Yarrowia lipolytica: one gene and its partner. The protein of the gene in region 1 interacts with the protein of each later gene in a biochemical or structural test. Links are inferred from orthologs where the notes say so. Each region holds a gene or a part of one and is shown in the gene's direction. Other genes may lie near its edges. The genes, in order: YALI1_A19459g and YALI1_E12402g.

The links.
Region 2: of the proteins of YALI1_A19459g (region 1) and YALI1_E12402g, one has a biochemical effect on the other in vitro, tested with the Schizosaccharomyces pombe proteins (4 studies listed by BioGRID). The link is inferred for Yarrowia lipolytica from reciprocal best matches to the Schizosaccharomyces pombe genes dsk1 and prp2.

Annotation. Positions count from the first base shown.
Region 1 is NC_090770.1:1,943,742-1,947,876, reverse strand, and holds YALI1_A19459g (uncharacterized protein), read left to right. Parts: upstream 1-2,041; coding exon 2,042-3,502; downstream 3,503-4,135. Other genes in the region: YALI1_A19441g (uncharacterized protein), read left to right, coding at 3,580-3,709, 3,753-3,844; YALI1_A19428g (uncharacterized protein), read right to left, coding at 3,970-4,135. UniProt on the Schizosaccharomyces pombe protein: May play an important role in mitotic control by altering cellular location, degree of phosphorylation and kinase activity. Abundant expression accelerates the exit when cells are in M-phase and also delays the entry into mitosis when cells are in G2.
Region 2 is NC_090774.1:1,238,070-1,242,682, forward strand, and holds YALI1_E12402g (uncharacterized protein), read left to right. Parts: upstream 1-2,163; coding exon 2,164-3,969; downstream 3,970-4,613. Other genes in the region: YALI1_E12295g (uncharacterized protein), read left to right, coding at 1-1,152; YALI1_E12421g (uncharacterized protein), read left to right, coding at 4,066-4,154, 4,609-4,613. UniProt on the Schizosaccharomyces pombe protein: Necessary for the splicing of pre-mRNA. The SF1-U2AF59-U2AF23 complex has a role in the recognition of the branch site (5'-UACUAAC-3'), the pyrimidine tract and the 3'-splice site at the 3'-end of introns.

The DNA of each region.
Region 1 (4,135 bases):
AAAGAGAACGGGTGAGGTTGTGAGACGAATAAGTGAGCTGGAGGGTAACGAAAGAGTCAGAAGTGGATTAGATGAGATTCGGAGTTGGTTGAAAGAGTCAGTTGGCCAATATTACCCCAGGATGTTCTTCTACGGTACAGTACATACTCGTTCAGTATCCAACTGAAAGCTGACTGATGGTGACGAACAAACAGCACCTTATAAGAGGGATAAGGACACGCCGAGAGATGATAAACTGATTGAAATGGGCATGAAAAGAAGGACGGATTTGTCAGATTTCCAATATCTCCTCTGTGGCGTGAGATAGATTCGTTGCTATTTGATAGACGACTGATGTATGTATAGTAGCCAGAAATGCCCGTTTAAGGAATTTTTCCGTTCCAATAATGCACTTGTAGACTTGACACCCGCTCTGTTTGTTACCTCCATCTTTTTTTTTGACCCAGGTCACACTACAAGTACTGCACTGTAGTAAAAGTTTTACTAACTGATCGTTACTTTTTGCCATGAGACAAGGGATTGGAGAGGGCTTCTAATGAGGCCAGTTTTGCCAATATGACGATAATTTTTTGACTGATCGAGAGCTATTGATTTGCTGATTCCAACCATAGTCTTTTCTAGTTTGTTGAGCCACCATTCTGTCCGTTGCATACGCCTTTTTATGTTCCTCCAATATGACGTAATTGTCATCTCTAAAAAACATCTTATTCCAATATTGACCATATAGGCCTTCCAAACAACTGGTATAGAAAGGGGTCAAAATGGCCGCGTTGCTCGAAACCTGTGCAATTCAATTTTCAAAATATATATAAAATCGACTCTTATCAAATCGGGGGTTTTCCCGATTCCAATCTATTTTACTCGATTTTTCTAATTCTGCCCGATATCACATCGTATCCAAGTGTATTGTACTCGCTCGTACATACTCGTACTCGTACTCGTCAAGACATCTGAAACACGTCACCCAAAGACAACAAAAGACACCAGCCAGTGCCGAGACAAGAGGCAGATGGTGCTTCTCTCAGGTACATGTGGAAATTGTGCAATCGGAGTTCTACAGAGTACAAGTACCGCTGGTTGTGCCACTTGTAGTACAACTGTTCTCTCTTGCTCTCCTGTATAGCAGGGTATATATACTCTCCAAGTGCAATACCACCATGTTCCCGCATGAGAGTCGTCAAAAATATACAGATTACACCCATCGGAAGGAGTCACGTGACCTCCACACACTCATCCCCCCACCCCAACGGACTTGTCCCGCTCTTTCTGGCTTATCTCCTAATCTCAAGAAGCGCGCCGAGTTGCTCGTATGTGGGAGGGTTGCCATTGTGGATGCATGGGGTATGCGTGGCTGGGATGTGTTTTCTGTTAGGGTAAGTGGGTCGTGACAGGATGTACTTAGGGCTGAGGGTTACGCGGGGACTTGGGGAAGAAATGGCGGGGCGGAAATCTCCGGCAATGGGCTCCGATTGGCAATTGACCTGGAAAAGCCGTTTTTCCGCCGCTTTTGGGCCTCTACAACCGGTGTTATGAACATGAGCTCATCTTATCGTGTTGGAGGGTAGATTGCCGCACCTGCAGGAGAGTGTGTTTAGAATGGGCTGTGGGGGTCCCAGCGCGATTCTGAAAAGAGAAATCAGGAGAGAAAAATTGGGCGAGTATTTTGGCGGGGTTTCTCTGTCTCTAGCGCGTCTACAAGTCCCTCTTTGGACCCCCTTCAAGGCCCTCCACAGCACGCCATGCATGCGCAACTTTAAAATCAAAACAAGTTTGGCGATATCTAGTGAACTCGTACTCTGAGACGACTTGACCAGACGACATACTGATACAAGTTGAACGTGCGACCCTCAGTTGGAGACACAGACGACGTGACGCAGACACAAACCGACGTTACATAAACAGCGCGACAGCACAACACCCCCGAGTTTACACCAAACACTTTTAACCAGCCTAGTCGAGACGAAATCCACCAGAAAAAAAGTACTCGTCCGTGGTTATACGACACAAACACCGACCATCATCACATATCCAGTTGCACACAATGTCGAAACTCACCGTCAACACGGACCTCAGCGACTCGGAGGACGAGGTGCTGCAGAAAAACGAAGAGTCGCTGGACGACTACTGTCCCGGAGGCTACCATCCCGTGAAGATCGGCGAGAAGTTTGCCAACGGCCGCTACGTGATTGTGCGCAAGCTGGGCTGGGGACACTTCTCGACCGTGTGGCTCGCGCGGGATACGCAGAACAACGACCGCCACGTGGCCATGAAGGTGGTGCGGTCGGCTTCCCACTACACAGAGACGGCCATTGACGAAATCAAAATGCTGGAGCGGGTGAGCAGCAAGAACCCCGACCATCCAGGCAAGGCCCATGTCGTGGGCCTGTACGACAGCTTCAAGCACGTGGGCCCCAACGGCACACACTACTGCATGGTGTTTGAGGTGCTGGGCGAAAATCTGCTGGGTCTCATTCGACGACACCAGTTTGCCGGCATCCCCGTCAAGCTCGTCAAGCAGATCACAAAGCAGGTGTTGCTGGGCCTGGACTACCTGCACCGCGAATGCGGCATTGTGCACACCGACCTCAAACCTGAAAACGTGCTCATTGAGATTGGCGACGTGGAGAAGATGCTTAAGCTGGCCGAGGAGGAGGATCGCGCGGCGGTCGAGACGAAAAAGACCAAACCCGGGTCCAGAACCGGTCGTAGATCGCGACGACAATCTCTCATCACCGGCTCCCAGCCACTCCCTTCTCCTCTGCGCTCCAACGCGTCCTTCTTCAACGATCTCACCATGACCAAGATGGTGGAGGAGGTTCGACTCGACGACGACCACGAGAAAAAGACCAGCAACCAGCTGTCCAAGAGCCCCACATCGGTATCGCCCACCAAGCCGAGAACCGCGCTGGCCGAGGAGCTCATCAGCGTCAAAATCGTCGATCTCGGCAACGCGTGCTGGGTCGAGCATCACTTCACCAACGACATCCAGACGCGACAGTACCGGTCACCCGAGGTGCTGCTGGGCTCGTTCTGGGGCGCCAGCAGCGATATCTGGTCCATGTCGTGTTTGGTGTTTGAGCTATTGACCGGCGACTATTTGTTCGAGCCCCAGACCGGCTCCAAGTACTCCAAGGACGACGACCACATTGCGCAGATCATCGAGTTGCTCGGCAAGATCCCTACCAGCGTGCTGCAGACCGGCAAATGGACGTCAGAGTACTTCAACGACAAGGGCGAGCTCAAGAAGATCTCCAAGCTGAAGGACTGGCCACTGGAGGCAGTTCTGCATGAGAAATACAACCATAGCAAGGAGGAGGCCAAGTTGCTGGCCAGCTTTCTGCTGCCAATGCTGCAGATGGATCCCCAACAGCGAGCCGATGCGGGCGGCATGAGCAATCATCGGTATTTGGACGATGCCAGTGGTCTGTCTGATATCAAGGTGGATCGAAAGTGTGGCAGGAGTGGTATTGATATTGTTGGATGGGCCAGTGAAGCCAAGTAACCGAACGAGTGCTTAGCACGAGGGAGGATGCTGGGGCGCCATACTAAAACTGTCGCTCATGAGCAGCAGCAAATTGAATGGGTGGGTGGACTGAACTACTGATAAAGTTGGGTAGGGTCTCTATTATCTCTACTCTTGTGACATCTTTTAGAGTCGTGGTTAGACTCTCCCCCCTTTCCCTCCCCCTCATTCAGATATCACCACAAGGTAAAACTACGTTAGAGTAGTGTTTGTGGTGATGAGGAAGAAGATAGAGAGATGCAAGGAGGCATACAAGACGGTACGTATGTACAAACAGATTTGTATAGTATAATAGGAAAGAGACGGACCAGGCCCGAGTAGTTTGGCTGTTGATTAGATTGATGAAAAAGTGTTGTGAGCCGAATGACAGACTGACTGTGCGCTCACATTCTACATCCCTTCTTTAAAATAAATATATAATATGTACGAATGGGTCAAGTTCACGGTCATGCTCCCAAAGTAATCAACGAGTCCTCGGCCTTGTCGTCCTCTGGACAAATGAATTTGTGTTTGAAAATGTCAAAATCGTCATCTTCATCTGACGAAGGGTCCGAGGCATCCGAAGGAATATCTTCATCGGGACCTAGTCCTAGTCGTCGTCTGATTCTGTCT
Region 2 (4,613 bases), on another chromosome or scaffold:
CTGGCGAGATTCCGGCTTGAACTGGCTCTTCTGTGGGAGATTGACGAAGACGCTCAGGTAACGCCAGAAGATGTTCCTCTGGTGACTCTTGTGGCGTCTCTGGCGTCTGCGGAGATCCGGATGGCCTTTGACTACCAGCAGTTTGGTATTGCCAGTATCAAGAACCTCGGGTTCAGTGTCTCCAACCAGCGAGAAGTGGCGGACTACCTGTCCGCCATTGTCGACATTGAACAGATTTGTGTCTTTATCACTGTTTTGGCTCCGTCCAACATTCTGGATCTCGTTCAGATTCTGGTTCGAACCAAGCAGGGTATTGAGGGAGCCTATGAGGAAGAAGTCGGGGCTTCCAACGAAGAAACTCCCTCCAAGGAGAAGAAAGTTGGCCGGCCTCATCTTCTCACGTCTGTGGACGTTTCCATCAACTCTGGAACGCTGCAGGTCTACCCCAGCACTCTTCTCGATACTCAGGTCCTCTACGTCAATCTGTCTGGAACACATGCCAAGTTTGTTTGTGACACCCAGAAGCGTGGCCTCGTCAAGTCGCACCTGGAGCTGGGTATGCACGAGTTTATCATTGCTCTGAGTACTTTCAAGACCCAGATCAACGAGGAGGATCTGTTGACACTCACTGTGGACGAGTTTGTGGCTCATACTCGCAGAGCCAAGGGAGGCACCATTGTGCGGATCCCCAAGGTCGACATCAACATGCACACATGGCAGTACGACACCAACCCTACTGAGGTCAAGTTCACATACTCGTCCGAATTCGCCGGCAAAGTGGACATTGGCTGGAACTTTGGCTCAGTCACCTTCATCCGAGAAATGTGGAACTCGCACGCCAAGGCCTTTGCCAGCCGAAGAGAGGCCTACAAGCTCAACTTTGTGGCCAACCCGTCGGTGCTCAAGGATGGCGAGCTGGAGGAGAAGCTCAAGGATGTGGCTCTGGATGAAAAGTACGTCTATGTGGCGTTGGAGCCTCCCAACATTGAGATTCCCCAGCTGCGAGATATGGGCGAAGCCACTCCTCCCATTGAGTGGATTGGTCTGCATCGACAGCGGTTCCCCGGTCTGACTCATCAGGTGGTGATTGTGGGTCTTCAGGGCTTGGTCAAGGAGGTTGAAGTTGCATACTTTACAGTTCTTGGAGCGTAATGACGGCGATATAATGGAGTTTGAGGAGGAAGAAGAGAAAGATATGAGCGGCTGAGTGTGGGGGACAAAAAGGAGGACAATTTATTTATTTATATTATTTTATTATTTCAATTTGGGGTGCTCCGGCACACATGCAGTACATACTCGTACTCGATCTTGGATCAGTGGTGTGTGGCTAGACCATTCATAAATCACTACAGGACAGCCTTGTGTATCACGCGGTGCATCATCTGTTTCTGGACCCTTCTGGACCCTTCTGTTTGTTTCTTCTGTCTCACTCCATCCAACTTCCACACATCGACGATGCAGAAATCAGGCGTGGAAAACAGAAGTTTGGATCGGTGATGGTGTGGAGTTGTAGGGAGGATGGAGTTGTAGGAGGATGAAGGGCGTGGATGAGTACTTGAATCTCGTTTGAATCTCGTTTGTTTCTATGCAAAATGTGTCAAGATAAGATGATTAGTCGTGTAGAAGAGGAGCCAACTAATAGATAAGTATTTCGTTCCAAAGGTAATCATTTTCCAAGTGTAACGCTAACTAATGATTGAAGGGATGGGGTTTTATGATGGAGTTTTAAAGACATTTTTGGAGATGAATTGTGCCAAAAAGAAACATTTGCTAAGAATATGTTTGCGGTCTATCGCTTTATTCATCTACAATTTCTCTAGCATCTTTAGAACACCGAATATGAACCCCCAGCATGCTTTTGCTCTTAACAAAATGTCAAGTAAAGAAGACTTTTCCAGGAAAGGACGTGAGTTCTGAAAATGGGCAGAAAAAAAGTAGCACAGACACAAAAAGTGGACCTTAAAAGACATCCAAGCCCTAATACCCCAAGCATCTGCTTCTACTCGGTCTACTCCCTGGGTTGTATGGTTGCCACCAGACCTGCCTGGGTTACCCTACCCGATGTGAAGCTTGTCCTTCTTCACCTGCAGCGTACTTACTCAGCACTCACTGGTTTGAACTGTACACACACCACATCACCACCCTCCAACCGTCTGTTTCAGCATGAATAACAGCGTGGAGGAGTTTTTGGCGCAGACGCAGCGCGGGCTGGACACGCAACAGCCGCCGCGACCTCGTTCCCACGACTCGCGCGACACCGAACGAGATGTCCGAGATCGAGAACGAGAGCGGGACCGGGACTTCAGAGACCGAGACCGTGAGCGAGACCGCGAGCGGGACCGGTACCGTAACCAGCGGTGGCGTCGACGGGACGACTCGGTGGACCGTGAGCGGGAGCGAGAACGACACAGAGATCGAGATTATCGAGATCGCGGCGATCGAGGAGATCGAAGGGACAGATACAGCAGAGATGGAGGTAGAGACCGACGGGACCGACGGGACGACGATCGCACACGTGACAGACCACGTGATCGAGACAGAGACAGAGACAGAGACAGAGACAGAGACAGAGACAGAGATAGGGATAGGGATAGGGATAGGGATAGAGACAGAGGAGACAGAGAACGGGCACGTGACCGAACCCGCGAACGAGATCGAGACGTTTCGATCGACGATAGCGTGGTGCCTCTCGACGAGCGTCCATTGTCTGCTCCCACGGGCTGGGATGTCAAGGCTCGAGGATATGAGCGGGTCAGTTCTGAGCTGGCCAAACGATCGGGTCTGTTTCCGTTACCGGGACGTCCCACCCAAGTCAACTATAATGTGTTGAGGGGACTGGTGGAAGGTCTGCCTGATCAGCCCACGGACCACGAGACGGCAGCAATGATGCCTCTGGTGGACACGGGACCCATCAACAACGGTAAGGGATCTGTTCGACCTGAGTTTTCACGGGTGGCGCGAAGACTGATTCTGAGTGGTATTCCTGCCGATCAGATCGACACGGTGGCCATCAAGAGCTTCTTCACAGACTTCATCGAGGGTCTGGAGCTGCAGGGATCCAAGGAACGGATTGTGGACGGAGTTTACAAGCATCCTCGTCTCCCCGAGGTGTTAGTGGAGTTCTTTTCTGCGGAAATGGCAACCTTAGCCCTGGCTCTGTCTGGTCTAGGTATCAATTACTCGGGACCCCCCATTAGTATACGACGACCGTCCAACTACATTTGTCCTACGCCAGAGAGAAGCGAAGTTTCAAGAAGATCGCTGGACGAGGAGAAGGAGGTGGCTTCTGTGGTGGAGGACTCCAACACGAAAATCATTGTGTGGGATATTCCGTTCAACGTAGAAGAGGACCAGGTGCGACAGCTGACAGCATCGTTCGGTGAGCTTTCTGCATTCCAGCTCATTCGACAGCTGCCGTCTCGGGAGTCGGCGGGCATTGCTCTGGTGGACTACAAGGACCCCGAGGTGGTCAAGGACGCCGTTTCAGGGCTGTCAGGACAGGTGATTGGTGGAAAGAACCTCAAGGTAATGCTAGCATGTGAAGGACCCACGCAGTTGTCGTGTTCGTCCAACAACGGGTTGAAGGGAATTGTGACGGTCATGAATGACGTCAAGAGCCGGCCGGAGTCGTCGGTCATTGTTCTGTTCAACCTGGTGACTCTGGACGAGCTGCTGGATGATGTGGCCTACAGAGAAATCACCGAGCAGGTCGAGTCCGAGTGTCTCAAATATGGAGGAGGAGAAGAGGTCCAAATCAAGATCCCACGACCTGACCCCGAGGCCATGAAGGCGTCGTATCGACGGCTAATCTTTGAGACTCGTCCAGGTGTGGGAAAGGTTTACGTCAAGTTTGCCAGTGTGGAAACGAGTCGAGTGGCGATGCAGAAGTTGACGGGCCTGCGGTTTAGCAGGAGAAGTGTCATTGCGAGTTATTACTCGGAGGAGTGTTTTGACATGAATGTGTTTTAGATAGTTGAGCGCAACGGAGAGACACTTGTTCCAGGACTCTCAATCGGAGCAGTGGAGTGCGAACGAGCTAGACATTGTGACGCTCTCTACTCTGATATGAAGGTTCATCTATCATTATTGTGTTTGTCATCATGGATTTTGGCTGGATTGGATATAATGATACCGAGTTTCCTTCGGGGTTATAGGTCTTTACATTAATTGTACATTTGAATAGTTGGATTTTTGTATAAGGGTATGAGCAGCAAGAAAGCAATTTGTAGAAAAATGAGTAGGAAGAGCGCGATTTTCACATTGTCGCAGTTCTGAACACTCGTGGAATGTCAAACAAATAATTAAAAAATAAAATAAAAACAAATAAAAATAAAAATAAAAATAAATCTTAGATTATTGTGTTTTTTATTTAATTTTTTTTATTATAACATTAATACATTAAACTCTATATTTAATAAGACAAGTACTTGTACTGTAGGTAAACCGCTGAATGTGATCGACGGATTAACTCTGACCCAGCTCTCTCTTAAAATAATGCGATTAAAAAATAAAAATGAAAATAAATAAATAAATAAAGATCAATAAATTAAGATAAATAAAATAAAGATCAATAAATAAAGATAAATAAATAAAAAGACGTACACATAGAATTC